2 linked regions of the Caenorhabditis elegans genome follow. The protein of the gene in region 2 interacts with the protein of the main gene of each other region in a pairwise test. Each region holds a gene or a part of one and is shown on either strand. Other genes may lie near its edges. The genes, in order: lpd-6 and F53E10.6.

The links.
Region 1: the proteins of F53E10.6 (region 2) and lpd-6 interact in a two-hybrid assay, tested with the Caenorhabditis elegans proteins (one large-scale study listed by BioGRID).

What each region holds. Positions count from the first base shown.
Region 1 is NC_003279.8:3,138,296-3,155,448, reverse strand, and holds lpd-6 (Brix domain-containing protein), read left to right. Parts: upstream 1-7,655; 5' UTR 7,656-7,664; coding exon 7,665-8,079; intron 8,080-8,135; coding exon 8,136-8,317; intron 8,318-9,102; coding exon 9,103-9,179; intron 9,180-9,230; coding exon 9,231-9,356; intron 9,357-9,953; coding exon 9,954-10,415; intron 10,416-10,468; coding exon 10,469-10,928; 3' UTR 10,929-11,038; downstream 11,039-17,153. Other genes in the region: K09H9.1 (uncharacterized protein), read right to left, coding at 980-1,159, 2,120-2,164; K09H9.7 (C2H2-type domain-containing protein), read left to right, coding at 3,470-3,542, 3,678-3,809, 4,283-4,367, 4,416-4,577, 4,626-4,671; dscc-1 (Sister chromatid cohesion protein DCC1), read right to left, coding at 5,145-5,648, 6,476-6,811, 6,886-7,155, 7,211-7,432; K09H9.5 (T20D4.11-like domain-containing protein), read left to right, coding at 12,281-12,475, 13,184-13,297, 13,348-13,407, 13,564-13,716; K09H9.8 (uncharacterized protein), read left to right, coding at 14,882-15,004, 15,425-15,601, 15,851-16,087, 16,787-16,852; col-49 (Cuticle collagen 49), read right to left, coding at 17,038-17,153.
Region 2 is NC_003283.11:2,590,881-2,605,462, forward strand, and holds F53E10.6 (RRP15-like protein), read right to left. Parts: upstream 12,184-14,582; 5' UTR 12,181-12,183; coding exon 12,102-12,180; intron 11,977-12,101; coding exon 11,888-11,976; intron 11,824-11,887; coding exon 11,675-11,823; intron 11,622-11,674; coding exon 11,363-11,621; 3' UTR 11,273-11,362; downstream 1-11,272. Other genes in the region: irg-3 (Infection Response Gene), read left to right, coding at 1,714-1,949, 3,046-3,197, 3,241-3,355, 3,973-4,132; F53E10.5 (BZIP domain-containing protein), read right to left, coding at 5,140-5,265, 5,365-5,652, 5,724-6,044, 6,098-6,138, 6,937-7,104, 7,285-7,341, 7,391-7,498, 7,549-7,605 and 3 more.

The sequences.
Region 1 (17,153 bases), on a different chromosome or scaffold from region 2:
CAAACAAAAACATTTTCCTGTTAAGATCGTGTCGTCCCCATAAAATTGATTTGCTTTCTGCTCAGGAATTGGTTGAATAGTTTCAAGATGCCAACAATCGGATGTATCATCGCTTTTGCAATTTTCAGAGGAATGAAATATCTCGGGAATTTCGTCACAGAGAATAATGTTGAAGACACGGTTAACAGATTGAGAGAAGTTAGCATCTTGAAGGTGCATCCGGAATATCGTTGTTGTGTTTCTTTGAGGTTCTTTTGAAACCATTTTCATACACTTTTTGATAAGCTTTTCCAAATTTCCAATGGAGAGTTGAATATATTTCATTGGAAATTCAACAGTTACTCTTTTAGTTGGAAAAATTCTCTGGGAGTTAGCGATAAAGTTATCAAAAAGTGATTCATCTTTGTCCAATTCATCTATAAGAGTTTTCGCGAATTGAACGTTTATTTGTACCTCTTCCAATATATACATTGACTGCGGTTGAGTTGAAGGAAGAACGTCAAATCTAGCTATTGGTGAGATTGCACCAAAACCAAGACAATCTAATTCTAAACATGCTTGGTTGAATTCCAGTCGCACATTTTTCACTTTCCATGCCACGAGGATCAAATCAAGAAACTCCCTTGGTAATGAATGTGCTAGCATATTCGTACTGCTACTGCCCTCCCGATCAGTGCAAAGCACCTCTCTCAGATCAAATACCAATAAATCACATGTAATGGGTGCTTTGGTCCATGTTTTACACTTAAAAACAAACCCGCAAGATGTCAGCTGTTGTAACTTATTTCGGAACAGAGTTATACAAGTTTGTTTTGCTCAGGAATGTGGAAAAATTGATCGGCAACATTTTGTCAGTTAAAAATATTTTTTTGAAAATGTTCGAGTTTCTGTGATTATCCCGCATCCACTACTATTACATTTTTAGTTTAAAAAATAGGAAGTTCAGGAAAACTCGATTAAAAAAATCCCGAAATTATTATTATTTATTCCTATGCTCGAACATTTCAAAAAATGATGTAATTATGTTTGAAAAAAACATTTCGGGAGAAAATAAACGTACCCTCAAATCCAAATTGCTAATAGAATTTTTTGAAGTTTTTTCCAACACTCTGGACACGATCGCTTCATTGTTAAAAACACTATCAACAATTGTAGTCATCTGGAAATAATTTCAAGTTATTAGAGAGATATCGAATCTATTTTACATTTTTGTTAATAAAAACGTTCAACATTTTTGGGGTTTGGATAGGAACGTGGATCTCAATAGTTATTGACATGAGCAACGGGCCAATGCAAACTTTTTTGAGAAACTTAGAATTTCGCGCGCGAAACTTTTTGATGATATAAAATTTGAATTTCGCGCCAGGTTCTTGCAGCGATATGTCTTGAGGTCCCGCAAAAGAAAACGGAGACCACGGCCTCTCTAATGTTTTAAAAAAGTGAATAAAAACGTGTTGAACTGTCTTTGCGTTGCTCATGAGCATGAGTGAGTTTTTCGAGATTGTACTGGAAACAACAAAAAAAAGCTTTAAACGGTGGATAGCAAAGAAATCGAATAGAAGTTCATAAACTGATTGATCAAACTCGTAGCGTTTTAACAAGACCAAAATCATCATTTGAAGATGCCTATATAGTATGTATATGAATTTTTCAATTCGTAAAAATTCAAAATTAGTGGTTTTTCAGTAAAAAGTCAAAAGATCGGGTTGTTAGCTGGTAAATCTCGGAATTTCTCAGAAGCAAATAGTTAAATAGATTTTACATAGTCTATAGTCTATGAACCTTTCACCTTGCACCTGGGCAACACTGATTACTGTGCCATATTCAAGTCTAGATCTTATAAAAGTTTTATATATCAATGTCATTAGCTTTACGTTTTTTTTAGAACTTAAAAACTAAAATATTACATAATATCCGGCATTGTTTCAACACTTAATCTGGCGCCGCCAAATCTTGGTTCGTTTTCGAGTCCTAGTAAAAATGTATCTTTCATTTAAGCGACATATGTTTGGCATATTACCGATATATAAAAAACCAAGAGCAGCTTTTGGCTTTCCTGATTTTGGTAGCGGTAAGACTATAGACTCTGACCGTGTTTTTGGAATTTCATCGCTTATACCTCCGCATTCATGCTGGCCTGTTTCTGAGCTTCTTCTCTCAACATGAGCTTATCCTTTTCAATTTTTCCCTTCTCCTTGAGTAATGCAGATTGAGTCTTCTCGAAGCTTGCTTTCTCCTCTTCCAGCGAAGAATCGACAATTGAAAGTTCTTTTAGCAATTTGCTGAGGTTTTTCTCTTTTTCAGCGATTTTTTGGATTGTTGCATCGTATGGAAGAGTGATTGAATCGTTCGTGTGATGATGTGAAGGTTGAGAGTTAGAAGAGATCTCTTCGAAGATGGAATTCACTGAAAAATCGACAATTTAATATTAAAATTCTCAAAAATTAGCTCTACATTGGAGAATAAATTATTTTTCGAATTTCTTCCATTTTCTGATAATTTGCAGCTCTAATATTTGCGTTTAGCACGTTTTTATCACTTTATCACATGATGCCAAACTTCTATCCTCCGAGAGGCCAATCTCTACAAAAAATAGAAAATTATTTCTTTCCATGTAAAAATACAAACATTTATTGACTAAAGACAGTAAACTACGTAGAAAATCAACGGAAAACGCCAAAATTCTAAATTTTTCGCGAAAATAAGAGGCACCACGCTTTCAAGATTTGGTCGCTTTCCGGATCTACGATTTCCAGATCTCACAGTCTCCTCGGCATCGAAAGCGCAGTATACGCAGCTTACTGTCGCATTTCGCGTTTGCTAGTGTATTTTTTGAAGATTTTTCCGAATTGCAGAAATTGTGCGGCAAATACTCTTGAATTCAAAAATTCTTTCAGATGAAGACGGTGTTCGCGAGGGTAGGTGATATCATTGCCCGACATCTCGCGAGTTCCGCGGCTGACAATGTTTACCGCGCGTTGAGGGCGGAGCTCTTTCCCACGTGTCTCACAATTTCTGAAATTTGGAGACAAAGGCTCAGCCAATTCGGAAGATAAATGCTCCGTAAACATTTCGAATTACGCCGAGGAGACTGCAGATCTTTGTTTTCTAAATCTGACACCATGTCAACCGCAGTTTTCGCAAACGGTGCAAAAAAAAAGAAAAGAAAACGTTGATCTGGAAACGGTAGATCCGGAAATCGTAGATCCGGAAAGCGATCAGATCTTATAACCGTGGTGCCTCGAAGAAAAAATTAAAGGCGCACGGAAAATGAGAGGCGGGTCTCGAAGCGATAAATGGGGGTACTGTAGAACTGCAAAAATTTCCACAACTCATCAACTCAGATTTTAGTTTTGAACAGATTGGTGTTTTTCTGAACTTTTTTCTCTTCCTAAATAAATTAAATTTTGCAAAAATTTAGAAACTCATAAAATATATTTATCTTGTTTCAGGAAACCAGCGATTCCCAATGAATTCGACTGCAGATTCTGGAACTTTCGTCGCAAAATTTAATGCATGGATCGACTTCATCGGCTCCAAAAGTAAGTAATTTCGAGACAGCTGCAGCTTCTACTTAAATTGAAAATGGAATTCTGAATGTAATATTCAACTTTTGAACGAATTCTGTGTGAATCCTAACTTCTGCAGTAAGCGTTTTTTATATAAAAATTTTTCAGAGGCGTTCTTCACCAATTTGAAAATTCTCGCTGAGAATGGAATTCATGAATCAGTGATTCGAGCACTCGTTCTGCACAATGCAAAGCTACCAATCCCAAAATGTGTTGCAACAGAGAGTTCAGTTGAAATTTGTAAGGATTCCCACCCTTTTCACTTCACATTTTACATAAATAAATACTAATTTATTTGCCTGTAAATTCTCTCTGATAATTTACAGAAAGAACGGACGAAATCGGTCGAGGACAACGATTTCTACAGCGAAGGCAATCCACGAGGAGGAGAAACTCCAGTTCAAACCGCCGCCAAGCTACAGAAGGTCGCATTGTCACGCCGAGACCCGTCGTCGTTAAATGCTGCGCCTTTAACCCCAGAATGCCTATATAAGGAGAGGACGACGCTCATTTGTGATCATTTCTTAACTCTTTAACCCGTTACTTGTCGTTTTCCCTTTTCTCTCGTTTACTGTGTATCGACGATGCAATTCGTCTGTTCCCTTTTACTTAATAAACCCTTATAAGATCGATCAGTGTGCGTGAGTGGCAGTTACATCCTATACCTTTATTAATTGATATATTAAGGTGTATATATGTTAGTTGAATTTCAGATAATTCTGCAACAATTTCTGGTATTTTCTCTGCGTTCTCTGTGAGATGCTGCAAGTGCTCCGATAATGTGACAATTCCAAATCTGTAAGACGTTTGCATCCAAAACATAACGAGCAATTATTGATTTTTCAGGTACAAACATATGAAACAACACGTCGAGAAGACGAGATACTCCTGTTCCACGTGCAGTGGAAGATTCGAAACAGAAGAAGCAGGCCTCCATCATCTCCTGATTCACCGCAGACGAAGAAACGTCAAGCTCTTCGACGAGTGGGATGGAGAAGCCGAAAAAAGGTATTATTCAGTTTCTCCTTCTCACCATTCTAACAAAACCATTTCCAGGATCGATCAGCTTCTCATGCGATCTGTCGCGAGAAAGCGAGACTGAAACGCAGAAGTTTGGTGTCAAAAACTTGTGGTTGCTCTCTTATGATAATTATCTCCCCCACCTATGCCCAAATCTCTATCATTTTTTCCTCCAACTGATATTTTTTCCCTCATTTTTTGAGCCAAGTAACATTCATTGTTTATTGTTTTTAACATTTTCTAGGCCGGTCTAAGCCGTTTCCACAAATACTCTTCAATTTCTATTTGCCAATTTCTCCCCAACCAGCTGCATTCTTGTCCAATATGCACAATTTTTCTTTTTTATTTTCATCGTCCCTCTCCCATCATTTTTCTCTTTCCCTCGTCACGCACTTATCTCTGTCACTATGAGATTCTTATCTTCTTTTTCCATCTTGAATGTTCACTTTCAGCTCTTTGAGAATAATCTTAAAAGTTCTTGTGGCCTGAAAAATAGTTGAATAAACTTGGTATCAGGTACTTGAAAGCATTTATTTACAAAATATGAAAGAAAAATTATCGCACGCCACAATAGAGCATCTCATTTGATTCAGAAAGCGCATAATCACAATTCTGAACAACATACTTATCAAAAGCAACTTTCGATTTGTAAACATCCTTGAAATATGGACGAAGTTGCTCCATAGACCAGAGTTTTCGATATTCAAAAAGATATAACATTCTTTCTTTAATAGTATCAGGAAGATCTTCCGGTGATAGGTATGAGATCACTTTTCCGAATGGAGCATCAGAAATATCGGCGACACCTTCCAGCTGGGCAATGTTCATAGTGACTCCATATGGTAGAATCTTGTGCAGGAGTTCACGAAACTGTTGGAGAGGCATTTTTTGGGTTCCATAGAGAATGACGACGGTTAGGTCGCGGATCAGGTTGATCTCAGGCAGGCGGTAGGTGAAAGGATCCTCAGGATTCTGTTCGCATCGGGAGTTGAGGAACCAGTCAATTACCTCGTCGGGGACGTTTTCTGGAAGATTGGAGCGCAGAGAGGCTCGGGAAATCTGAAAATCGAAGAATTTCAGATTTTTAAGTTATTACGTAGAAAAATCTAGAAAAATCGCCATATCTTACGCGCAAGATATCCCGCGGGGAAGAGACGAAATTACTGTATTCTTGTCGATTTACGGGCCGCGAATCATTATTCGAATTTAATTTTTTTTTAACTTCGACCAGCAATTTTCATTTTCAGTCGTTTTGCGTATTTTTAATGGATTCTTCAATAAATAATTTATTTTTGAGAAATTTTGAAATTCAATTTTTCTCAGAAATGTGAGTCTTTATTAAATTTTTTAAATTTTTTTTTGAAAAAACTCTGAAAAACTGAAATTTTCGTGTTTTTTTTTGGGGTTTTTAATGTTTTTTTTTTTTTGGAAACACAGAGAAAAAACTCCGAAAAACTGAATTTTCGTGTTTTTCCGGATTTTTTTTCGATTTCTGTTTGAAAAAAACAACAGAAAAATTGAAAAATTCAGTTTTTTTTCCGGAAAATACCGAAAAAAATCTGAAATTTCTGGAGTTTCTGGGTCTTTTATTCTATTTTTTTAACAGCAAAACCTCGGAAAAACTGAAATTCTCGGTTTTTACGATTTTTGTTGGGAAAAAACAACGGAAAATTGAAAAATTCAGTTTTTTTTCCGGAAAATACTGAAAAAATCTAAAAATAAAAATACGAAAAACATCTGAAAATGAAAAATTGCTGGTCGAAATTCAAAAAAAAAGATTAATTTCGAATAATGATGCAAGCGCGGCTCGTAAATCGACACGGATACAGTAATTTCGTCTCTTCCCGGCGGGATATCTTGCGCGTAAGATATGGCGATTATTCTACCTTCTCCAGCTTCACATCACCGATTGAATCTTCATCGAGAAGCTCCACAATTAATCCGAGCATTTCTCCACGATATTTATGAGATAAATATCGATATCTTCCGCTTGAAAACTTTACAACCGGCAAATCATTGAGTGCAATTTTCACTTCTTCAACACTCATTTGAACACTATTCAGCAGGTCTCGAAGCTTATAACCCTTTAGATTCTCCTCTTCCTCACGATCCTTCCAGTCCCAACGTAGCTCCTGCTCGCGGAGCATATCCTTAAGCCGTCCGATGCTCAAAACATCCACTTGGGGACACAGCTCGCCTGTTGAGAAGCATTTTCCACCGATCTGAATTTAATTAAATTTTTAAAAAATTTTGAATTTCGAATAAACTAAAATAAATAAAAATAAAAACAACTGACAGTTTTCACCTGAAAATTCGGAAGCGTCGGTGAATCTGGAGCTTCCAGGCATTTATGAAGAAGAAGAACCGTTGTGGCGGATTCGATAATTTTCATGGGAAATGTGGCGTTGTCTGTGCACAGAACCGCGTCGTCAGTTGAATCTCCGCGAATTGTGAGGCTTTGACCTTCACTAAAGGCTCCGATGACTGATTCATCCACTGAGAGAAGCATAAATTCTGAGGAAGGATCGGAGTAATCCGGCGAAAATTCCATTTTTGTCATGGTCTTCTGAAAATTTTCATTTTTTTCCCCAAAAAAAAACTAATGCTCCAAGAAAGCTTACATTCATCGCCTGATCAAATGGCCTATTTTTCGATAAAATATCAAATGTGAATTGAGCATCCTTCTCTCGTATTGCGTGCTGCAGCTTTTCCATTACAGAGGGCTCCTCGAGCGTTTTTTGAGGTTCAGGCGCAACGATATTTTCCTCATTTCCACTTGCCGGAGCTGGAGCAACACGTTTAGTAGGTTGAGTAGGCTTGGATCTTGTGACGAAGCGATTCATTATCTGGAAACAGATCTGTACAGAAACTGAGAAAATCGATTTAAAGTTTAATTTGAAATTGGCGGAAATCGCGGTAAAAAACTTGTCGTCAGCTATGGCGCATTGGACGCAAACACTTTGACGGCAAACTGCACACTTCGTATTTTTTTTTTTTCGCAATTTTTTTCGTTCCATTTTCTAACCTAAATACACTTAATTTAACAATAATCTTTATAAATTTCAGTTCGAAAAAATGAAAATGAAGAAAGGAAAGAAGCAGAGAAAGTCTGGAGCTCATAATCGCGGAAATGTAGATGCTCTAAGTCAAAAAGATGCCCTTTATCATCAGGAAAAATTCGTGAAGAAGCTACAGAAGCAAAAGTTTTTGGAAAATAAAGAAATTGAACTAGCAAGACAGCCTCATTGCTTGGTTATTCATCGCGGAGACGTCGGAAAGTACGTGAAGGGCCTGGAGTCGGATTTGAGAAATCTCGTCGAGCCGAATACAGCGAAAAACTTGAAAATTCTCAAAAGAAACAATATCAAGGATTTTATCGTGAACGGTGCGGTACTTGGAGTCACCAATATGATGGTTCTCACTTCCAGTGATGCTTCCTTGCAGCTGAGAATGATGCGTTTCTCCCAAGGACCGACGTTATCGTTTAAAGGTTGCCAATTATCGATTTTAAATAAAATTCAGTAATTTAATTATTTTAATTTCCAGTTAAACAATACTCCCTGGCTCGCCACGTTGTTAATTGTCAAAAGCGACCAGTTGCCACTGATAAACTGTTCAAATCCTCGCCGCTCGTTGTGATGAACGGATTTGGCGACGGAACGCAGAAGCATCTCTCATTGGTTCAGACTTTTATTCAGAATATGTTCCCTTCCATTAATGTCGATACGGTAAAATTTTTAAAGATGGACTACGATCAGGGGGAAAATTGCTTTAAAACACGCCTATGTGGTCACAATGACCGAATATCATTATAAAAAATTCAAAAAAATGTTCTAGAGTTTATATGATTTTTTGAAAATTGGAAAAATCACAGTTTTCACCTAATTATTTTTGAATTTCCGCCAATTGAATTTGTTCGGTGGAGCGCGCTTGCATTATTTTTTTTTAATTAGTTTTATTTATTCTCGTTATTTGACTGATTTTCTTCATTTTCTATGTTTTTTCCTCGGAAAATGGAAGAAATAAACAAGAAAAATGCAAAATGTTTGTTTAAAAGTAACTGAAAAAGCATAAAACTGTAAAATTATGAGTTCCGACGACAACAAGCCTGAAATTAGTATATTTCAGTTTTACTCATTTTCAATTAGTTTTTAACAAACATTTTGCATTTGTCTTGTTTATTTCTTCCATTTTCCGAGAAAAAACATAGAAAATGAAGAAAATCAGTCAAATAACGAGAATAAATAAAATTAATTTTAAAAAATAATGCAAGCGCGCTCCACCGAACAAATTCAATTGGCGAAAATTCAAAAATAATTAGGTGAAAACTGTGATTTTTCCAATTTTCAAAAAATCTTATAAAATCTAGAAAAATTTTTTGAAATTTTTTATCATGATATTCGGTCATTGTGGCCCCATAGGCGTGTTTTAAAGCAATTTTCCCCCTGATCGTAGTCCACCTTTAAATCGATTTTTTTGTCAAGTTTCAGAAAAATTATACAAAAAATTTCAGATTCAACTTGGAAACCTGAAACGCTGCCTGATCGTCAGTTATGACGAAGAAACTGACGAAATTCAAATGAGGCATTTGTAAGTGCTATGAATTTCTCTAAAATATAATTATATAAATTTTTTTTTCAGCGCAATTCGAGTCGTCGCCTCAGGCCTCAACAAGTCTGTGAAAAAGCTTATGCAAGCGGAAAAGACGATGGGAAAGAATATTCCGAATTTGAGTACCTACAAAGACATCAGTGACTACTTTTTGAAGTGAGAATTGTTCAGAAATTCTACAAACTGAGCCTGAAATTCAGTGATTTATCTGAAAAAAACGTTCATATCAGTTTTAAAAATAGGAAAACCCCTCAAAACTGGTCAGAAAACTGGAAAATTTTCGGGAAAAAACTATACTCAGACGATTTTTGAGCATTTTTTTTTTCAATTTTTCCAACTGAAATAAACGTGATGCCTCTCAAAATTTATGGTTTTTCTGAAGAATTTGAATTTTTTCTCTCTGAAAATTCAATAATTCTTCAAAAATCATCCTTTTCCAGCCCCGGACAGTTCAGAATTCGAACGAAATTGAATTTTTCTAATGTTATTAATAAATTTCCATTAAAAAAATTCAAATTTTTCATAAAATGATTAATTTTGGGAGGCATCGCGCGTTTATTTCAGATCGAAAAATTGAAAAAAAACCTCTAAAATGGTCTGAAAATTGGAAATTTCCGGGAAAAAACAATTTTTAGACGATTTTCGAGGACTGTTTTCGAATTTTTCCAATTGAAATAAACGATATTTTCAGATAAATCACAAAATTATTATTAAAAAATATTCAATTTATTTAAATTTCCCTTCTTTTTCCAGCCCCGGACAGCTCAGCGATTCCGAATTCGAAGGAGATCAGCAAGAAGTCGAACTACCACAGGACATTTCAGAAGGACGTGGCTGCGGAGTTGGCCAGAAGAGCAACGTCCGTCTTCACGAGATCGGACCCCGACTGACTCTGGAACTCGTCAAAATTGAAGAAGGAATCGATGAGGGAGAGGTGCTCTATCACAAGCATAATGCGAAGACTCCAGATGAACTGATAAAACTGAGAGCTCATATGGACAAGAAGAAGCAGATGAAGAAGCGTCGTGAGCAGGAAAGTGAGCAACGTGTCATTCGAAGACTTACGATTGTCAAGGAGCAACAGGATGCTGAGGAGGCAGAGGTGAAGGCGATTCGAGAGAATGCTGCTCGTAAGCAAGCTGCCGCTACTGGACAAGTTGAAGAAGTTGAGAATCAGAAGGAGAAGGATAGAGAGATTGCGATGAATCGGGAAAGGTATAGATCCCCGTAATTGAAGACTTTTTAATTGATTTTTTATATTTTTGCAGAGATCTGAAGCGTGCCAACGAGGAATGGGGTACATCTGAAGCCTCGAAGCGTCCAAGATATGAGGATAGTCGTGGGGGATTCCGAGGTGGATTCAGAGGAAGAGGAGAAGATCGTGGAGGCTTCCGCGGACGTGGCGGAGATCGTGGAGGCTTCAGAGGTCGCGATCGTGATGGAGGTGGCTTTAGAGGAAGATCCGTGGATCGTGGTGGCTTCCGTGGAGGTGGTGGCGACCGAGGAGGCTTCAGAGGACGTTCATCAGATCGTGGTGGAGATCGTGGAGGCTTCCGTGGAAGATCGGGAGATCGTGATGGAGGATTTAGAGGTGGATTCGGAGGACGTGGTGGCGGTGGTTTCCGTGGAGGCGATCGAGGAGGATTCAGAGGACGCGGCGGAGGTGGTGGATTCCGTGGTGGGCGAGGTGGAGATCGAGGCGGCGGTTTCCGAGGAGGTCGTCGTTAATTCTGATATCAGTTGTTGTTTTTTGCAATTTGTTGTTTCTCCATTCTCCATTTTTATTTTTTTAAATGTTCGTTATTGTTATCGTTATAATCATGAATTTATCAGACTGTTTTCCTGTTTACCCGCTAATTTAGAATCAGGAATGTCGCTGAAAAAATGTGGGACTTAACAATTTTACCGAGAAAAATCATGTTTGCGCGTAATTTGTGATGCTTTCACAGATTGGGCTCACGGACGCAAACTTGTCACATCAAAGGAGCTAATTGCTTTAAAACTTTAAATTAGCTAGTTTCCTGCTTTATTTCATTGAAAAATCAATAAATTTCACAATTTCAGGCCTGTATGTATCACGGGAACACAAAATTCTGAGAATGCGTACTGCACAACATATCCGACGCTCAAAATATCTCGCAGCGAAAACTACAGTAATTTTTTAAATGGCTACAGTAGTGCTTGTGTCAATTTACGGGAATGAATTTCTTTTCGAATTTTCTCGTATCATTTGCTTAGTTTTAATATTCTATCGATAAATAAATCAATTTAATCCGTTTCGAAAATCGGGTCCGTAAATCGGCACAAGCGCTACTGTATCCATTTAAAGAATTACTGTAGTCTTCGCTACGAGATATTTTGTGCGTCGAATATGTTGTGCAGTACGCATTCTCAGAATTTTGTATTCCTGTAATAGCAAATTGTTGACTTTCTGGCCCGGAAAATGTGTGTGGAAAAGGAAAATGTCACATAAACTCGAGATTTGTGCGTAAAATGTGATGCTTGCAGAGTTCGGCGTCACGTACTCTTTGCATCACATTTGACGCGCAAATTTGTCAAGGGAACAGCAGCCAACTGGTTTAAAACTCAAAATCGGCGATTTTCAAGCTTTATTTCATTGGAAAATCAATAAATTTCACAATTTCAGGCCCCTTAAATTTTGGGGAAAATGTGTAAAATTCACTCTCGAGCCCGTAAATCGACACAAGAGCTACAGTAGTTATTTAAAGAATTACTGTAGTTTTCGCTACGAGATATGTTGCTAAAAACTATATAAAATTTGGGAAAAAGGAATTTTGTTTAAAAAAAATCGCGCAAATTTTAAAGTGGTACTTGGGCTCGGTGGCAGAGATCCAGGATATCAGTTGTTTTTGCAATTTGCTGTTCCTCTATGTTCTTCAATTTCATAATAATGTTCGTTATTGTTATCATGACATTATCAGAGACTGTTTACCCGCCAATTCAAAAATCAGTAGTCCCGACGCCGCCATGTCGGCTGCTGACCTGCCGATCAAGGTCATTCAAATTGATGCACGACGAGAATAAAAAACACTTCTCCCCCCATTTTTCCCCCATTCAACATGAAGATTCTGACCGTCTTCCTCCTTGTGGCAATTTCTGCAAATTGTGCCACTCCGTGTGATCATCAGGATGCTGTCAAATCAATGGAATGTAAACCGTTACTGGGGCAGTTGGCTGGTGAAATGGCTAAACACGCGGATATACCACCGCCAGACGAGCTCAAAGAGTTCTCGTTGTTGTGTGAACAGACCCTTGTGGGTGTAAAACGAACTTGCGCGTCAAGTTTGACGAATATAAATTGCTCAAAATTTGCGCGTGAAATACGGTGCTGTTAGTAGATTTTTCAAAAAGCAAGTGAAATCAGGCGTATTTCGTCGATGCACCATGTCTGAAATTTGCATACTTTTTCAAATTTGCGCGTAAAATATGGTGCTTTGCATACTTTTCATTATGTAAAATATTCTTATCACAAATGTTTTGAAATGCGCGTGAAATCAAATGTATTGCTTCGATGCACCACGTCTGAAATCTGCGTTTTTTTCCTAATTTTGCGTACTTTATCAAGTTTGCGCGAAAAATACGGTGCTTTGCGTATTTTTGTTCCCGAATTCGTAGTTTTTGAAATGGATTAAAAACCGTAAATCGACACAAGCGCTACAGTAGTCATTTAAAAAGGATTACTGTAGTTTTCGCTACGGGATATTTGGCGCGTCAAATATGTTACGTACTACGCATTTTCAGAATTTTGTATTCCCAATATAAAAATTCACCAAAAGTTTGATATAGTTAACCATTCCTTACTGAGAAAAACTAGTTTTGCGCGTAAATTCTGGTGTTTGCACCGTTCCGCCTTACCGACGCTGTGCACCACATTTGACGCGCAAATGTATTAGTTTAACATGTTCCAACTAGTTTTAGCCTCAAAATCAGCAAATTTCGAGCTTTATTCTACATTGTTTCAGGCTTGTATGGAGCAAGTAAAATGCGATTTGCTCAAAAATGCAACTGGTCTGATCGCCAAAACATGCACCGGAATCAAATTGATGTCTGGTCCATTTGGACAATGTATTGATGACGTATGGTACTTTTTTCAAGAAAAAGAAAAATTAAAAATACATTATTCCAGCTCCGCAGCACTCCACCATCGCTGAAAAAGTATCCATGCGGGCGATTCTTGAAAACGGAGGTGAGTGTGCAGATATGGTACATTGCACCATTTTACGCGCAAATTTAAATTAATTAATTTGAAAAGTTACGCTTAAAATGTGGTGCATTGTGTGCGCATAAAAGAAGCACCATACTTTACGCGCAAAAAAGGAAATATTCCTGTAATTTTTTGCAGAAAGGGCGCCCGGGAAATTGTCAAATGTATCAGGATGAGCTCGAATGCACAAAACATTTGACATCTGATAGGTGTGGAAAAGAAGCTGTTGATTCGATGAATAAACATATGGGATATATTCTTGGAATGATGGAATGTCCTGTTTCTGTATGAAAAATCGATAAATGAACATTTATTTTATTTATATTTGTTTTTTGTTGGGTCTCGGCACGTGCATTTGTGCGTCAAGTCAGGCAAAAATGTGCAAAGTTGAGATATTATGGAAAAAAAATCTGAGAATGCGTATTGCACAGCATATTTGACGCGCAAAGTATCTCATAGCGAAAACTACAGTAACTCTTTGAATGACTACTGTAGGTCGATTTACGGGCTCGATTTTCGGAACGGATTAAAATAAATTATTTATCGATTATCGATTGAATATTAAAATTTAACAAAAAATGAAAAAAAATAATACGGGGAACGAAGAAAAATTGAAATGTCATTACGAAAATCGAGTTCCCGTAAATCGACACAAGCTCTACAGTAGTCATTTAAAAAATTACTGTAGTTTTCGCTACGAGATATTTTGCGCAGTACGCAGTCTCAGGGTTTCGTGTTCCCGTAATAACTATATAAAATCTAGGGAAAAAGGGATTTTTTGAAGAATAATAAAATTTATTTCTTTAAGAAACAAATCTCACGTAAACTGTGATGCTTGCACAGTTTGGCTTTACGGATGCCTTGCATCACAATTGACGCGCAAATTTTAATTTATTAGTGAACACGTGGTGTCAGAGATTTCGGCTTGATTTACGTAGATCTACAAAAAATGCGGGAGAAAAGACGCAGAGTTTTCAACTGATTTCGTATGTTTAAGAATGTGCTGACGTGACTTTTTTGTGCAAAAAATTCCCGCATTTTTTGTAGATCAAACCGTAAGAAGACAACTTGGCACCACGTGAGTGAACAGATGTCATCTAGGTTGAAATTGGAATAATGTTACAAAATTAACCAAAAAACAAATCAATAGTTAACGAATTTTTTAAAAATTAAAATTGTTTCACAAGCATTTATTTTAATTTTTTAGTTTTTTTACATTTCAAGAAAACCACACCGTCTTTCTATCTGCAAACCCCTAACAAAGAATGAATCAAAAAACAGTTTCTCTGTTGTACTAAATACCACACCCAACACACATGATTTGATAGAATTCTCTCTCTCTCTCTTGTCTGCACACTCTTCAAATCGCACACTCTCTGATTTTCTCTAGAAATTCACGCCGTTGAAGTTATGAAGAAAGGTATTCTCTAAAAAAAGAAAAAAAATCAGATTCACGATGGTTCTTTTCTTTGATAAAGTTCCTATTAAAGAGTATTTCACGAAACTTTTCAATTTTTATGTCGATTTTCAAGCTGAGAATCCAAAATATCGATGTGTTTTTGGAAAGTGCCATGTTGTGGTGAGTTTTTATTTTTTCCAGAAATTTTTGCGCGTAAAATATGGTGCATTGCATAATTTTTATTATGTAAAATTTTCCTATCACAAAATTTTGAAATGCGCGTGGAATCAAGTGTATTGCTTTGATGCACCATGTCTGAAATTTGTGTACTTTTTCAAATTTGCGCGTAAAAAATGGTCCCTTGCGTGTTTTCACGAATTAGTAGATTTTTCAAAAAGCAAGTGAAATCAGTCAAGTTTCATTGTTGCACCATGCCTGAAATTCGCGATTTTTCCTATTTCTGCGTACTTTTCAAATTTGCGCGTAAAATAGGGTGCTTTGCGTATTTAATTTAAAATTAGTTCGTTTCTCCAAAATGCGCGCTGCAGATTTGCAAAGCAGTGCATCGCCTCCTGTCGAGGGACTCCCAATTTTTTCCAGAATGCTTCCAAAGTGCTTCTTCTCCTGGAAATATTTCTTGTAATCCCCATCTACATGCTTTTCCTGTTCCCATGGTGGCTCATGTGGATTGGTTTCCATCTCGTTCTCATTTTAGTCACAATATATGCTCTCCGTAAAAAGAAGCATCGATTCATGTGGCCAATGGTGTTGTTTACGGTGAGTTTGCTGGAAAGCTCACAATTTTTTTCTTTTTTTTTTAAATTTTCCTCTTAAAATTTTCTCGAAAAATTTGACTCTCCCTGTAAATTTGTTCTCAGAAAATTTGAATTTCTCATTGAAATTTTTCTTAGAATTCGAATTTCCTGCTGAAAAATTTTCTCACAGTCAGAAAATTTGGCCAAAATACCAAAGATCAGACTACACAAACGAAAAACGCGCACACACTTATACTAAATTCTATTTCAGCTCTCTCAATTTCTTATCTGGGGATTATTAACCGTTATTCAACTCTTGATCGCCTTTTTCGACACCCAATCATTCCTGAACTTCTACTCTCAAGGACATCATGAAGAGTTCTTCGAAAAAGCATTGGTGGTGATAGTTGTGAAATTGTTAGTCTTCGCGATCGGAGCTTTTCTGTTTTGGCGATTTTCAGTCTACTACGCAACCAAAAACTATTACTCTGATCGATTGGAGGGACAGGTGAGCCTTACGTCTACAGTAATCCTCCTACAGTAACCCTAGGGTGAAGTCACTATTTATTTCCAAGTCCATCCTACAACACTCCTACGGTTTACGCTGAGACCTGTTACTGTACTTTTTGGTTTGTATATTTGTATCCATAACCTTCACCTCTTCAGTATGGTAAAAAACGCCTGGCTACAGTAACCTGAGCTCCTAGACTGTCTTACAGTACCCTACCATTTCAAATCCCTAGCCAGTACATCTAGTATACAATTCCTTACAGTAGTCCTATACTACACCCTGAACTTTTATTATACCTGCAATCTGTTACAGTACTCCAACACCCGTATGACCACAGTCACCCACCTGAATTGTTTTTTCTACGGTATTTTTATCCTAATTTGCAGGTACAGTTCTGTAACCACAGTATATCCTTCCTACCGTAGTCCTTCAGTACCCGCTCCCTTCACTGAATAATTCCTTGTCCTCGCTACAGTTTACAAACAACCGTATGTCCACAGAAACCTGCACTCGTCCTCCTACAGTAGCTATATCCTAGATTGAGACTACAGTATTCGTACCACAGTACACCTCCCTTACAGTAGTCCTATCGTACACCCTCCACTCAAAGTTCCTCCTTTAGAGTACAGTAGTCCGTAGCTTCCTTCTCCAGTAGTTTTATTCTATCTACAGAACCCCTTTACTTCAAAATTTCAGGTATCCGCAACCGAGGAGAGCAAGGGTCTTGAAGGAGTCGCTCAGAAGCTTTTGCAGCCAGTTTAGATAACATCTTTTTAAAAGTTTTTCTAGATTCAAAGAAGAATAAACGTTTTACTAGCATGTAATTACAGTGGGAATAGACGCCACTCTAACTATTCTAGCTCTGGCAAATCGGATTTTCAGATTTCACAAATGCTGATTTTCAAACATTTCCAAGAAGAATAAATACTTTATTTACACTTTTCGAATCAAGCAGTTCTAGGTGGGCAAGTACAGTAACCCGCGTCTTCTCCTTCCTTTCCACGTGTCCCTGGTACTCCTGCAACTCCGTCCTTTCCACGTTTTCCTGGTCTTCCGTTCTCCG
Region 2 (14,582 bases):
TTTTCTAACAAAAAGAGCCCAAACTACCGAATTTCGTAATAAGACTTTTAAAAAAGTTTTCAACAAAAAATTTCTGGAAAAAGCTCTTTTTTAGCTGAACATATTACAGGATGATCGTTGAATGCTTGTCGTGTAATTTCAACTGTGCAAAGAAGCAAATCTACTACCACATGCGAATAGTACACGACTGGAGTGCCAAATTCAACAAATAACTCGACTTCCTACTGAAGCCACAATCAACGAAAGTCAAGGGATCAAGCTCAATGTGGAGCATCATGGAATGGACATTTCTGAAATGGGAACGTCTTCATTTACATTCCCAGGATTTTATCGAGCGAAAAATATGAGATCCCCGGAATGTTTGGATTTACTCGATTCGATGAACCACTTCATATTGCATTGTCACTGGGAGCATGCAGATCTAAACCGAACTTCCTTGACTGAAAGGAAGCGTTTGGGATCCAAGTACGAATACGAGGTATTTCATTCAAATATCCATTCATTGAAATAAAATCTAATTTCAGAATTGGTTCGAGGAGAAGAGGGAAAATTCCGGAACTAAATTCATCAAGCGCTCCTCATCCAGCAAAGAAATTCACTACAACTGTGCGCTGGTCACAAATGGAGATAACCGTCAGTTCAAGAAATCAAAGAAGCTCGACCAATATTGTGCATCGGGAAAGGTAAAAATTCATGAAATTTTAATTTTATATAATACAACGTTCGGTTTTTCTCGTTCCTAAACAATTTCAAGGAAAAAACAATTAGCTACGCAAAAAACAAACGGTTATGTAATTTCACTTTTGCAGGTACAATTCCACGACAGTGGATCAGTGGACGTGCTCGGATGCTGCTCACATGCCGGACATGACACTTAGTCTCCGTATATCCATCTAATTTATCTGTACAATATTGCTTTCTAATTCAAAAGGTTCTTTTTTAAACCTGTGCTTCCCATTTTCCCCATTCCCCATTTTCCCCAATGTTTTCTTATAATTTTACTTGTATTCATAATATTTTTTACCATATACTATCTTAAATTTTAAATAAAATATTATTTTCAGATCTTTTTTCGGTCCAATAGCAAAAAAGAAATTTGGTTCTACTATACTATCGGTTGATGTTGAACGAAGTCTTCATGTTCAGTGTGCTTGTCTTATTGTACACGGAATTCTGGCTTCCCTCTTATAAATTGAAATGGAAGAGTTTGCCGAACTAGGCCATTTTGGGTAGGAGAGATTATGTGTAGATTTACAGCGCGTCGCGGCTCGTTTTTAGTTGTAAAACTGATGTATTTGTCCGTGTGGAGTACACGAAACTTTTCCACGCGTTGTCCGGCAGGCGATTGTCAATGGCGCGCGAAAATTCAGTGAGGAAGGCCAGAACCCCGTGATTGTATGTTGCGACTCGGATCCCCTTCGGGAACCCTCCCTGCAAATTGTCGAATTCGGAGATATCGCCTTGACTACAATTTACTCCTCTCCTCCGCTATAATGTACTCCTTTTCGTCCAAAAGCGGCCAAAATTTTATTTCCAGACAATCAAAAAAGAGCAAGAATCGCGAGCAAACGACACGCTTTTCCCGCTGCTCGTCACCATTATCATCATGAACTGATAACGTACGTGGGGCGGTATTCATTTTCAAAAAGAAAAAGGAAAGTTGCAGTATAAAAGAGAAATCGAATTTTCTGAAAAATCGTTAGTTTCTTGAAAATGTCTCGTTTTCTCAGCTTCTGCCTACTCGCCGCCCTCGTCTCAGCTACTTCCGCTCAGTTCACCGATCAGTGCACTACGCAAGATTATGCAGCTATTACACAATGCTATGTGACATATATGGCCGGTTACAACATCAGTATGACAACTACTGTTCCTGAATATTGGTCCTTCCACTTTGCCAGAAGAGACCTTTTGGATGCCGATGGCCTTCATATTCAGCCTTATGTGTGCCAGTGAGTTTTTATTAATTTTGAATTTCTTGGTCTCGCCACGAAAAATTTGAGTTAACTGCAAAAAGGTGTGCTCCTTTAAATGGTGCTGTAATTTGAAACTTTTGGTGGTGCGAGATTTTTTTCGATATTTTTTCGGCAAATTTTTTTTGTCGACAAATTTGGCAAATCGGCAGTTTGCCGGATTGCTGAATTGCCGGTAATTTTCAATTCCGGCAATTTGCCGATTTGCAGTTTGCCGGATATCAATTTGCCGGAAGTGATTGGAGGGATTTTTTCAATAAGACGGAAACACTTGAAACTGTTCCTTTTTTAACCTTTTTTGCCCATTACCTAATTATCATGGCAGAAGGAATCAGGTGTCAAAATTTTAGGCCACAAAATTTTAACCCAAATTTTATTTCCAAATAAAAATTTTAGTTTGAAATTTTAGGCCAAATTTTTAGTCCAAAACTTGGGCCGAAATTTCAGGCCATATATTTAATCCAATTTTGAGACAATTTATGTCAAGTTTTAGGCCTGATTTTACGGCCTAAAGTTTTGATCAAAATTTTGGGCCACATTTTTAGGCAAAAATTTGCCGTTTTTCCGGCTAATTTGACAAATCGGCAATTCGCCGGTTTGCCGATTTGCCGGAAAAATCGTTTGCCGCCCACCTCTAAACTACAGTACTCTTTAAAGGCGCACACCTTTTAGCAATTAACAAAAATTGTCGTGTCAAGACCATGGCGCAAAATTTCACAACTTGACTGTTTAAAAATGTCATAAATCGACAAAAAAACAGTCTGTCCTAGTTTTCTATTTTCGTTCTTATCTTCTCTTCCACGACAAAAAATAAGGACAATTTTCAACCCATTAGTCCATTATTTCCTAGCCACAGGTGTAATTGCGCTCCAATGCCAATTAAAAAAGATCCGCCCCTAAAGGTTAGGTCTCGTTAGGAAATTCAAACATTTTCAATTATTTTTGCCGGTTTCGAAATACACTGTCTTAATTTTCAAACCGTGGCCGAGCTTTCCCACTCTGCGGCCACCGAACTTTTGTGCGCTACGTTGCAGCTTTTTTTCCAGATTTTAAAATAAAATTCGAAAATTTCCAGACTCGGGAACGCGTTGAGCAACTGTTTGGCTCCGTACTCCTGCATGGGACCAAACGCCTACATGCAAATGAACGCCGCCAACACCACCGAGGCCACCGACTACTGGATCGACTTGGCCGTGACAGAGTACCAGTGTGGAGTCGGATATAATTGTAATGATTTTTGGAGAAACATTTTCTCTGAAATTTTTTTCAGTGACCATGACCGAGTTCTACTGTATGGCTTTCTGCCGTGATCGTTATCAGCCGAATATCGATCAATGTGATGCTCAGGCGGCAATCGACATGAAGAATGGAATGGATCCTTGCGCGTGAGTGGGAAAACAGAGCTATTTAAAAAAAAACTTTCCGTCTGAGAAAAAAGCAAAAAAATTATCTTTTTTGTAAAAATGAAATTTTTTTCGAAACCCGGTAAAATTTAAATTTTTAAAAGTTTTTTTTTCAGTTAGCTAAATCGTTTAGCAACTTTTTCCCCCTTTTTTCGAAAAAAAGTGAAAAATATTGTAATTTCGCAAGATTCCACACTGCCTCCTTAAAGGAGCACGTATTAATTTAGATGGGTCTCGACACGCAAAAGTTTATAGTAGTTTTTCTCTGATATTTCTCTGTTTAAATTGATTAAAATCAGTTTTCCATACAATTTCATATAAAACAAGTTCCCCGCAAAAATTCAAAAACAACTTGATATTTTTTTGAAGGAATGTCGAAATCTTGTCAAATTATAATATTGTCGTTTTTTTTTTGAGAAAGCGAGAACTTTCGTTTTTCTGTGTTTTTTCTCCAAAAAAACTAAAAAAACGAAAACAGTTTCGTTTTTCCGTGTATTTTTTGCCAAAAATACGAAATATGTTCGCGAAAAATCTACAAAAAATAAGGCCGATTTCGAATTTTTGCAATTTTTTCCTAAAATTCGCACCAAAATTTCCAGTGCCCAACAAAAGGACTTCAACTGTCAGGCGGCCGTCTACCGCAACTGCTGTGACTGGAACGCCGGTGTCTACATTTGTAACGTGGATGTCGCCGGGTCGAAGGCAGTGAATCCAGCGTGTGTGAATGCTGGATTGGTGACCTGCCCAGCGCCAAGATAATTTTTTGAATTTTTTTTTTGTTGCAAAAATGAATAAAATAAATGAAATTTAATGAATAAAACAACAACAACAAAAAACAAAAAATTAATCCTCGTCGCTATAATTTCCAGTATCGATTAGTTCCTCTCCAATATCCATCTGATCAACGTCATCATCCTCTCCCTTCACTTCTTTCTTGGCTCAAACACTGCCTGGTGGTGATCCCACCGAGTCACGTTCTAGCCGGAGACTGTGGCCGATAAGCCAGTCGTGGATTGCTTTATCTCCCAATAGAGACCTATAGGCTGAGGCCGGACTTGAACTCGTGACCTCCAGATTGCTCGCGGCCACCACTACCGACTGATTGTGAGCTATTTGCCCCCATATGGTAATTATTTCGACAACTGTATATATTCTTACGCTCTTGTGTGAACTAATGTTTTTCCTATGTGATCTTATGATAAGGTTTCATTTATACTTTATTCTCACGATAGAGATTATTTTAAATAAACAAATAGCAATAATAATGATATATGCATAATATATACATATGTACATATGCGTGGTATTGAATTTTGAAAAACCATTTGGAAAGTGCTCATCTTGTAAAAAATTCAGTTATGGTGGTTCGAACTGTGTGTAGGAAAGGTTTTAAGCGTGTTCCTCCGAATTATCATGATGATAAATGAGTTGTTGCATCCCATACTACAACAGAACACTTATGTGCTAAAGAATACATTTATTATATTAATTAAAACCCCAACAGAGTGGGTGACAGAAGAAAGAATAACAGGAGGGACAGGTAGAAGGGGGATACAGGAAAGTAAAAGAAGATCTCGAGTGATAGAAATGCCGCCTTATATACCCCTCTGCGGTGGGAAGGCGGAGTCGCCGACGCCGCCACAGAAAGATCCAGAAGACGTAAACAAGTGTGTGACCCGCGGCGCGCGCGCACACACACACACAGGGCTACTGTAGTGGGGAGACTTGTGGGCATGAAATAAATGGAGAGGAGCGGAATAACTCGATTATTGCGGAATTGACGCTGCGATAGCGTTCTGCTCTTGTGCACGGTTGGATCCGAAGATGTGCCGACGGGCTGGTAACAAGGAACAAGTAGGATCCAATGCGTGACTGACATCTGACCGATCTTCCTGCAAATCAAAAGAGTTTATTCCTGTCTACACTACTCCTATTCTATCACTGGGGGGTTTGGGTAAGGGCGAGAGATGTAAGGAAGGTTAGAACCTTACAGTGTGCAATGGTCTCTCATAGAAATAATTAGCTGGAATGCCATTTTCCAATACGAACTGAGCGACATTCTTTGCAATCTGCTCCAATGTTTCCGATATTGCTTGAAACTTTTCGATTTCGACTTCTCCTAGTCTTATCTTGTATGCTAATGTCTTCGACTCAGCACTTTGCTTCGCGCGAGTTTTTCTTGATCCCTTTGTTCCTTTTATCGTCATTTTTCCTTTTTCATCATTTGGTGCTTTATTATTTTTCAAATCATTCAATAGTTTCTCAGCGGTTGTAGACATCTGAAATAGAAACGAATATATAACCAAATAAAAAAAACATAGAAACTAGTTTCTATCAAAAAAAATCTTACTTTTTGTAGATGTTCAATATTCTCCTTGTTTTCCTCCGTGATTTCATTTATTCGCCTAGCTTTTTCTTGTTGGAGTGTTCCAATAAAGTCCTCAAAACTCCCGTATAAATAACTCGTATTATAACTTTGAGATATAATGCGGTAAACATCCGAAACTTGATTTTCTATTTCTCGTGTTCGACGTTTGACTTCATCAAGTCGTGATTGAAGCCTTGGAAGTTCATAACGCGATTTCTCAAGTGCCGTTTTCTTCTTTAATTCGTAATTGGCAGTGTTCCTTTGGTTTTGTTTTTTAATTCGATCCTTCTTTTCTTGTTCGGTCTGATGTTTGAATTTTTGGCAATACCAAAAAAATTCCAGATTGAAATACTTACCAACATCAGCAATTCGGTTTTCTTAATTCTGTGTCTCGGTTCTGAAAACTTTTGAGCAACATTCTTCTTTATTCTGCCAATATTCGGAATGTTGTTCTTCGTAGTTCTTCTGTACACAGGGTTCGGAGAGTGGGTTGGCAGATTTGAAATTTTAAAGGTGGAGTAGCGCCAGTGGGGAAATTGTTAAAAACCACTCCGTTGGTTCCAAAATAACTGAATACAGTAACAAAACTTTTCAAAAAAATGTTGGAATTTTTTTTATTTACTGTCAAAAAGTGGCAATTACTCAGTTTTTGCCACTGGAAGTCGACCAAAAAAAAAATTTCTACATTTTTTATGTTTTAATTTAGTTCAAATTATTTACATTGTAGGGGTCGAAACATGCGGCATTTCTTTAAACTTCCTCAAGAGCTCGTATTTTTCAAAATTGTGGCAATTTGCCAAAAACTTTGACCGGAAATTATAAAAAAAACTAAAATTTTTGGAGTATTTTATTATGATATTCGGTTGTTTTGGGTCGTTATATGTAAGTGCATTTAGACAAAATCCCCACTGGCGCTACTCCACCTTTAAGTTAATTATGTTTTTTTTTTACTTTTCACAGAATGAGTTCAACTCTAATAATTTTTATTTTTGTTTTTTGTGCCTGTATATACCTGTGAAAATTGGAATTCGACACAAAAACCTCTTTAGCGCGGCTTAAATTTACTTTCCTGGCTCACAAACGTACCAATAATATTTTTAAAAAATCTAGAATCCAAATCTATCAAAACATTTCCGGAATTCCATAATTTTTATTTTTGTTTTTTTGTGCCTGTGAAAATTGGAATTCGACTCACTGAAAGGTTGGTTAGCTTGACAATGAATCATTACTTGATGTTCCTGAAAAACCGGCAGCGTCATTTCAAAATGTCCAATTTGGCTATTGTGGGCGTGATACAAAGGAACGGAAATCGGCGCAATTTCAGCTTGATTAAATTGAGGTGTAGATTGTCTTGCATTTCCATCTGAAATAGAAGAAAAAATGACGCATAAACTCGCGAAGGCGCCTGACCGGCGCCCATATGGAATCCCCAGTAAAACCATCGTCACCAAAGTTAAAAACTTTAAACATTTGTTTTAAACTTCATTTACTTGTGGCCACTACTGTATATTATGTTTTTTTCAATTCATGACAATTGACTTACCATCATTATAGTGCCCATTTCCTGTTGAATTTGGTTCGCGACTTGATGGAAAATAGTCTGAATCAGCTCTTTTTTTATTTTAAATCGGAGGTTCCCCTCAACAAACCTGCAATGTCAGGTAGGCGGTGCTGAGACAGATGAGTTTGTTCCCTATATTCCGCTAAAAATAAATCATCCAATTGTTCATTCCAATTCCCTCGGGATGTTTCTGGCTCTAAATGAAGACTACACTTTCAAAAGTGGCAATAGTTTCAGGTAACTCACGTTGATACATTGGATCCGGGTGGTTTTCATTTACAGTATATGAAGGCGGACGTGGATCTAGAAAAATTCAAAATGGAACAAGATCGAAGCGGCCTAAAGTTTTTACAAATCTAAATAAAGAATGACCTACCGATTTCAGTTGGTTGCCTGATTTCCGGGTTGTCATTGTTATCAACATTGTGATCGTGAGGATCCTCAAAATATATACAATTGAATTGTTATTCGTTGTAGTTGTAGGAAAATATTATCAATTTTCTCAATGTTAGTTATTTTGAAGTATTCAAAAACCACAATACCTTCATTTCGTAGTTCAACGTCTCGTCAGCATCGCGTTCGTTGTTTGTCTTAACTACCGCAATATGTTGATACCATTCATTGATCTAAAACATTATATTGTTTCCTGTCTTATTCAGGAATGGAAAATGATACCAACCCAATTGGTCTTAATCTCTAAGTCTTCCAATTCTTCAGTCAAAAATTCGACATTAGAGTTGTTGTCCATATTGAAGTGCACTGGAATATAATTGTTCTTGATTTTATCCATATGTACAGGGTGGGCCAAACGTATGGTAACACGTTTGCAGCTCTATAACTTTACTAGTGGAGAGAGTTATTACATCAATTTGTACAAGTTTTGTTCTCTATAAAATACTGACCAGATGAACGTTTTGAATTTTCAAAATATTCCCATCCGCATCGCTGCAGGCCTTCAGAACTTTTGAGATCACGACCTTTATGGCACGCAAGTCGGCATTCTGCGGGATTTCTACATTTTTCTCGAGGAATCCATCAAGTGTCTTACAAGTTTTTATAGTTCAAAGAATGCGCTTGGTCTAGAGATTCTTTAAAAACAAAAATCCAAATAATTTCTATCACGGTATTTCTGTCATGGACTGCGGCAGTAGGTTAAGTCTTGAATGGCGTAGTCGCCAGAAAGATGGATGTGAGCGGCGAGTAGCAGTATGCAGAAAAATTCATTTTAGTATTTTTCGAGACGTTTTGACCTGACTTTCCAGAATTTTAAAAAAAATTGAGCTCGGATGATTTTGTGGGTCGTTACGCCTTGCGAAACCAAAAAAACTGAGTAAATTTCGCAAAGTTGAATTCATGAAATATTCAAAGGTTCTTGCTAGGCGCCAGTGTCGACACAGAAAATTTTTATATGCTACAAAAACAATTAAAAACGCTTCTTCACTTCTTTAACTTTAAATTTAACATAAAAATCATACATCTGAAAATTATTGGCGTGCGTAGGAGGTGTATTTGTGTGGGAAGTGCCGCGTGCCAAATTACCGTTTTTTCGAAAGGGTTCGCCAAATTGTCGAGGTGATAAAGATCGCACCTTATTGGGAAACATTACAAATTTTGAGTCAAATTGAAGGAAATTTATTCAGCTATCAGTATTCGATAAAAGAATGTACGTATGACGTGGCAGTCGCGCAAAAAGCTCATGTAAAAGAGCGCTTCATGTGTTACCATACTTTTGGCCCACCCTGTATGTATTTTACGTACAGTGTCGGCCGAAAGTATATGCGTTTTCAGTCTTCCTTGTATAACTTGCCTCATTTTGCTTCTTTTTATCTCAAAGACAACATCAAATAGCACAAAATACAGTCACTTTTATGAGTGGTTTTCATAAATATCGGAATATAACATTTTTCAAGCACTTTTTTCAAAAATCAAAAAAAAAGAAGAAAAATTCATCGATTATTTTAATTTTTTGAAGTTTGAAATAAGTATCATTAATTTTTATTTTTCGCTATTTATGAAAACTACTCATAAAATAACTGTATTTCCGCGGCAAGTCTAATATAGGAAATACGGTAACTGTATTTTGTGCTATTTGATGTTGTCTCAAATTTCATACAAAAATAAACAAAATGAGGAAGGCTATCCTAGGAAGACTGAACACACATATATTTTTGGTCGACACTGTTTCCATTTTTGGAAATTTAATTAAAATGTTTCAAAATCTGTCTTGTTTCAAGGAGCAGTTTGCTCAAAGTGAACAGATGTTTTGTAATGCCACACACATATCAGATGAAATCCGAGTAATCAGAAATTCAGAGGATCTTTTTTGCAACAAATGTGAAAATACTAGGAATGGGCTTAAAAATTTTTTATATTCTAAATTAAAAATTCTAAAAATTATGAAAAAAACGAGCCAAAAAATCGCATACACTTATTTTTTATATTGCAAAGGCTGCTTAGGTTTAAATGTCGAAATTATTACTTTATCGACTGCGTCTCCACAGCGCATTTTTTCTACATTGCCGCCAACTTTTTCAAGATTGTGCATGCAAAAGTGCGTCGCGGTGTTTGCGTCACAGACTTCAAATTAATGCGCGCGAAAGGCTCGAAAAGCAAACGCGCTCTGTTGAACATCTTCTGCGCGCGCATTCAAATTTAGTTTTTTCTTTCTTCCAAATATTTTTATACGGAAAGTGATAGTTTCACACTGTATTTGCTAATTTTTAAAGACAATTTTTAACAAACAATTTTTTTTTAATTTTTAAAAAATAAAATCTCAAAAAAGTTCCGGTTTTTTTCAAATTCTAAAAACACTGATAAGACTCCAAAACATCATAAGGGTCCCCCCTTATGAACTGAATCTTCAGCTCCAAAGGATCACAAGGATCCTCCTTTATGATCTGAATCTTCAGCTCTAAAATTTCCTCTCTTATGTTTGAAAAAAATTGAAAAAAAAATTGTTTTGGAATTTTTTCAAAAAGTGTTTAACTTTATAGAAAACACAATTTTGGTAGTTCTTACAAGTTTGGGCATTCATATTGCATTTTTAGCTAAACAATTAACCAAATTAGAGTTGACTGAGCATATAGACGTCTTACTTTCTAAGACTTATAACTCTGTTGGTGTTTGAATTAATAAAATGTAGACAGTTGAAAAGTTGTTGGCAACAATATGAAAAACATTTTGTTAGTGGGTACTTTCTAGTTATCTTTAGTGGCTGCGGAGATGTGAGCTCCAAGACAACCAAAATATGCTAGATCTGTGCTCAACAATATCTCAGTTCTGGACAAAGATGAAAAGATGCCTACAACTATGAAAACGTTTATTGCTTCGAACTTAACATGGTTGTAGTTGAAGGCTTTTTGATACCTCGCCTCTAGAACAGGGGTGTGCGGATAATAGCCGAATTAGCCGAATTAGCCGATCGGCTGATTCGGCTAACTCGGTTAATATTAGCCGAATTATCCGTTAGCCGAATTTTGTACCAATTAGTCGAGTTAGCCGTCATAAACTTTTTAGCGCGTCGAGACCCAATCGAATAAATATGTATGCCTTTAAGGAGACACGTCGAAATCCTGTGAAATTATAATTTTTTTTTTCGACAAAAATGGAGTGAAAAAAGCGAATATGTTAGTTTTTCTGTCTATTTTTCTAGAAAAAAAATCAAAACTTTCGCTCTTCTGTGTATTTTTCGCCAAAAATACGAAAAGCCTACAAAAAATAAGGCCGATTTCGAATTCCTGCAAATTTCTTTCCTAAAATTCGCACCAAAATTTCCAGTGCCCAACAAAAGGACTTCAACTGCCAGGCGGCCGTCTACCGCAACTGCTGTGACTGGAACGCCGGTGTCTACATTTGTAACGTGGATGTCGCCGGATCGAAGGCAGTGAATCCAGCCTGCGTGAATGCTGGATTGGTGACCTGCCCGGCGCCAAGATAATTTTTTTTTGTTGCAAAAATGAATAAAATGGATAAAATGAAGGGTTTTTAATGAATAAAACAACAACAGAACAGAACAAAACAAAAAAAAAGAAAATTTGATAACAAAAAAATTTAAAAAAAGTTAATCCTCATCGCTATAATTCCCGGTATCGATTTGTTCCTCTCCAATATCCATCTGATCCTCTCCGTCGTCATCCTCTCCCTTCACTTCTTTCTTCGCCCCAACATATCCCGAATCCGCGAATCTGTCCGAATCAAAGTTCTTGCCGTCGAATCGTTGACGAGCTTCTCGTCTCTCGCGAGCCGTCATCTTCTCCTTCACCGCGTCGGACATTGTCTTCTGACGATCGGAGACGGCGTTGAAGAGCTGGACGACTCCTCTGCAAAAATGGGAAAATTGACTTTTGACCGCGAAAAAATATCAATTTCCTACTTTGTAGCGACTCTTCTCAAATTTCGTTCCTTCTCCCGGTCGGTGGTGATATCCGGCTTGACCAGAGCCAACTTAATCCGGTATTCCTTGACACTCTTCTTCAGACTTTGCTCCTTCTTTGTCAGCTTCTTGATCACCTTCTTCTTTCTCTGAAAATCGCAATTTTTAATTTAATTTGACGAAAAACCGGGGGTTTTTTTTTCGTTTTCTCACCCTCTCAATGGCTGGGAAGGCAACTGTCTCGTCGGCGTCGCCGGCTCCACCATCTACAGAGGAAGGGCCTTCTTCTCCGCTTTCTCCGCCTGAAATTATTGATTTTTCTTTCAAATTGCTCAGATTAACGTTTTTTTTATTTATTTTTAAACTCAAAATACACGAATTCAGTTCAAAAATAAGTGTTTAAAGCGAGGAAAAATCGATAAAATACCTGATGACATCTCTTCCCTCTCATTATCGTCGTCCGAGTCTTCTGTGACGACTAATCGATCGCGGTTTTTTGTCGACATGGTCTAAAAAATTCGAGGAATTTAAAAATATAAAAATTCTAAGGAAATTCATGAGAAAATAGCCTGAAAAATCGCGGAAATTGATTAAAAACCTTCGAAAAATGAATTTGACCGAGAAAATTGTCCGCTTCGGCCCCCGCACTTCCTCGTCCACGGCCATGCGAAATGCGCGGGCATTCAAATTGGGAAAATCGAACGGAGCTCAAAAAGCACATAAAAACATCAGCTAAAACACGGGAATGGATGTTAAATTGCTTTTTGAACGTTTATTTAAAAAGTTAAACGTCTATACTCCGCCCACTCGAAGAGCAAAATGAGAAAATGCTCGTTTGACAAGTTGGGAGGGGGTGAAGTGCTGCCTTTTTCAATTTTTTTTTGCTTTTTTCTTCATTTTTCTTGACTTGAAGATTTTTTTTTACATCTTTTACATCGTATTCTTGTTCAAAAGAGCAAAGAATTTCCTTTTGAATTTCCATCCAAACCACCCACAACATTTGATTTTGTCATTTGATATTACTTGCCGCTAGTGTTTCCGGTTTCGGAAAAAAAGGAAGGAAATCGAAAATAAATATTTTGCAATAAATATTTTTCATTTTCTATCATATTTTCGTGGTTTCATTGTTATATTAACCCTCCTTCCCAAGTTTGAACTGGTTTTCTCAATGGGGCGCGTTTGCAACCTGGAATTTTTAAAAAATGTGTTTTTTCGTCAATTTTTGGTGCCCCCGGAACTTGGTGCAACGGGGTAAGACAAAAAAAGCTAAAGGAAGAAGAACAAAAAACAAGCATTGTTCTCAAAAGTCACTTATCGCTTCGTTAACCCTGTTTAGGGATGTCGCGGTCGCCCCGTCGTTTTATTTTTTTTTGCTGCTTCGTTCCATAAACTTTTATTTCTTCTTCTTTTTTTTTGGATATGTTTTGAGGTGATTGAGACCGAAAAAAACATGAGAAAACGATTAAATCGCAATGGATGGGTCTCGCCGCGCTTTTCGAAAAATAAAGAAATAGTCGTATGTTCCTTTAAGTTGACCGTAGTAATATTGCTAAAAAAGTTTAAAACTTGTTTAAAACACAAAATTAAACAATGTTAAGCATAAATCATAAAAAAGAAATAGAAAAATAACCTATAACTAAAAGTTTCTCGTCTACAGTAACCCGAATTTAAAGGCGCATACACTAATTTTTTCGGAAAATAAATGTTTTTTCGTCTAAAACGCTTGTTTTTAAACAGTTTTCGAATAAAAAAGAAGGCCTATTTGAACGCTAAAAATGTTTTTTTAAGTCCGAAAAATGGTCAAATATCACACGGGTTCTGGCCCTCCTCATTGAATTTTTCGCGCTCCATTGACAATCGCCCGCCGGACAACGCGTGGGAAACTCGTGTACTCCACACGGACAAATACATTTAGTTTTACAACTAAAACCGAACCGCGACGCGACACGCAACGCGTCGTAAATCTTCCCCAGATATGGCCGAGACAAAATGGCCTAGTTCGAAAAACTCTTCCATTTCAATTTATGAGGGAAGCCTGACATCCGTGATATCAAGTGGGCTAGCGGGAAAAAAATTGCTGGCCGAGTTTTTTTTCTAGGCCACGTTGTAAAATTTCCAATTCTTGGCATCAGGCCCCGCTTTTTGAAAACAAAACTTCTTATTTTCAGAGCCTCCGCTAATTCGACCAATAAAAATGACACATTTGAAAAAGTTTCAGCGCTCTATTCTTTTTGCAGCCTTTTCAGACACCCGCTTCTAGATTTTTCTACTGGGGATTTTGTCGAAATGTTTACTCATGTCGGTTTAACCACAAAATGTTTTGTTTTTCTTTGTTCGGGGTAAATTTTGAAAAAATTGAATTCTGAAGAAAAAAAACGATCCGGAAACTGAAAATTCCAGTGAAACTGGAAAATTCGATTTTCCAAGTTTCAGATTCTTAAATTCTTTTTTTTTTTCAAATTTGTTTTTGATGCACCATATGAGCTCTTTTGGCATTTCCCACGTGACCGAGAAAAATAAAAAATTCGGCCACCCTCATAGAACACAATTTTCCGTAAAATATTAGAATTAGAGATTTTTGTAGGTTTTTTTTTGGAAATCGCTGAAAAAATGGGGTGGGAAATTCAAATTTTCTGAGAAAACAGTTTTGCCACAAAATTCAAATTTTTGAAAAAAATGTTGACGAGAATTTTAAATTTTCTGGTAAACTTTTTTGGCGTAAAATTCAAATTTTCTGAGGAAACCTTTTGGGCGAGAGTTTCAATTTTATAGAGAAATAATCTGTGGCGGGAAGAAAATTTTGACATTCTCGTTAGCTTAATTAAAAATGGATTTAATTTGTGACCACCAATTTTTATCTAACTTACATTAAGTTATATAACTTAAGTTTACAATGGCCTAGTTATCT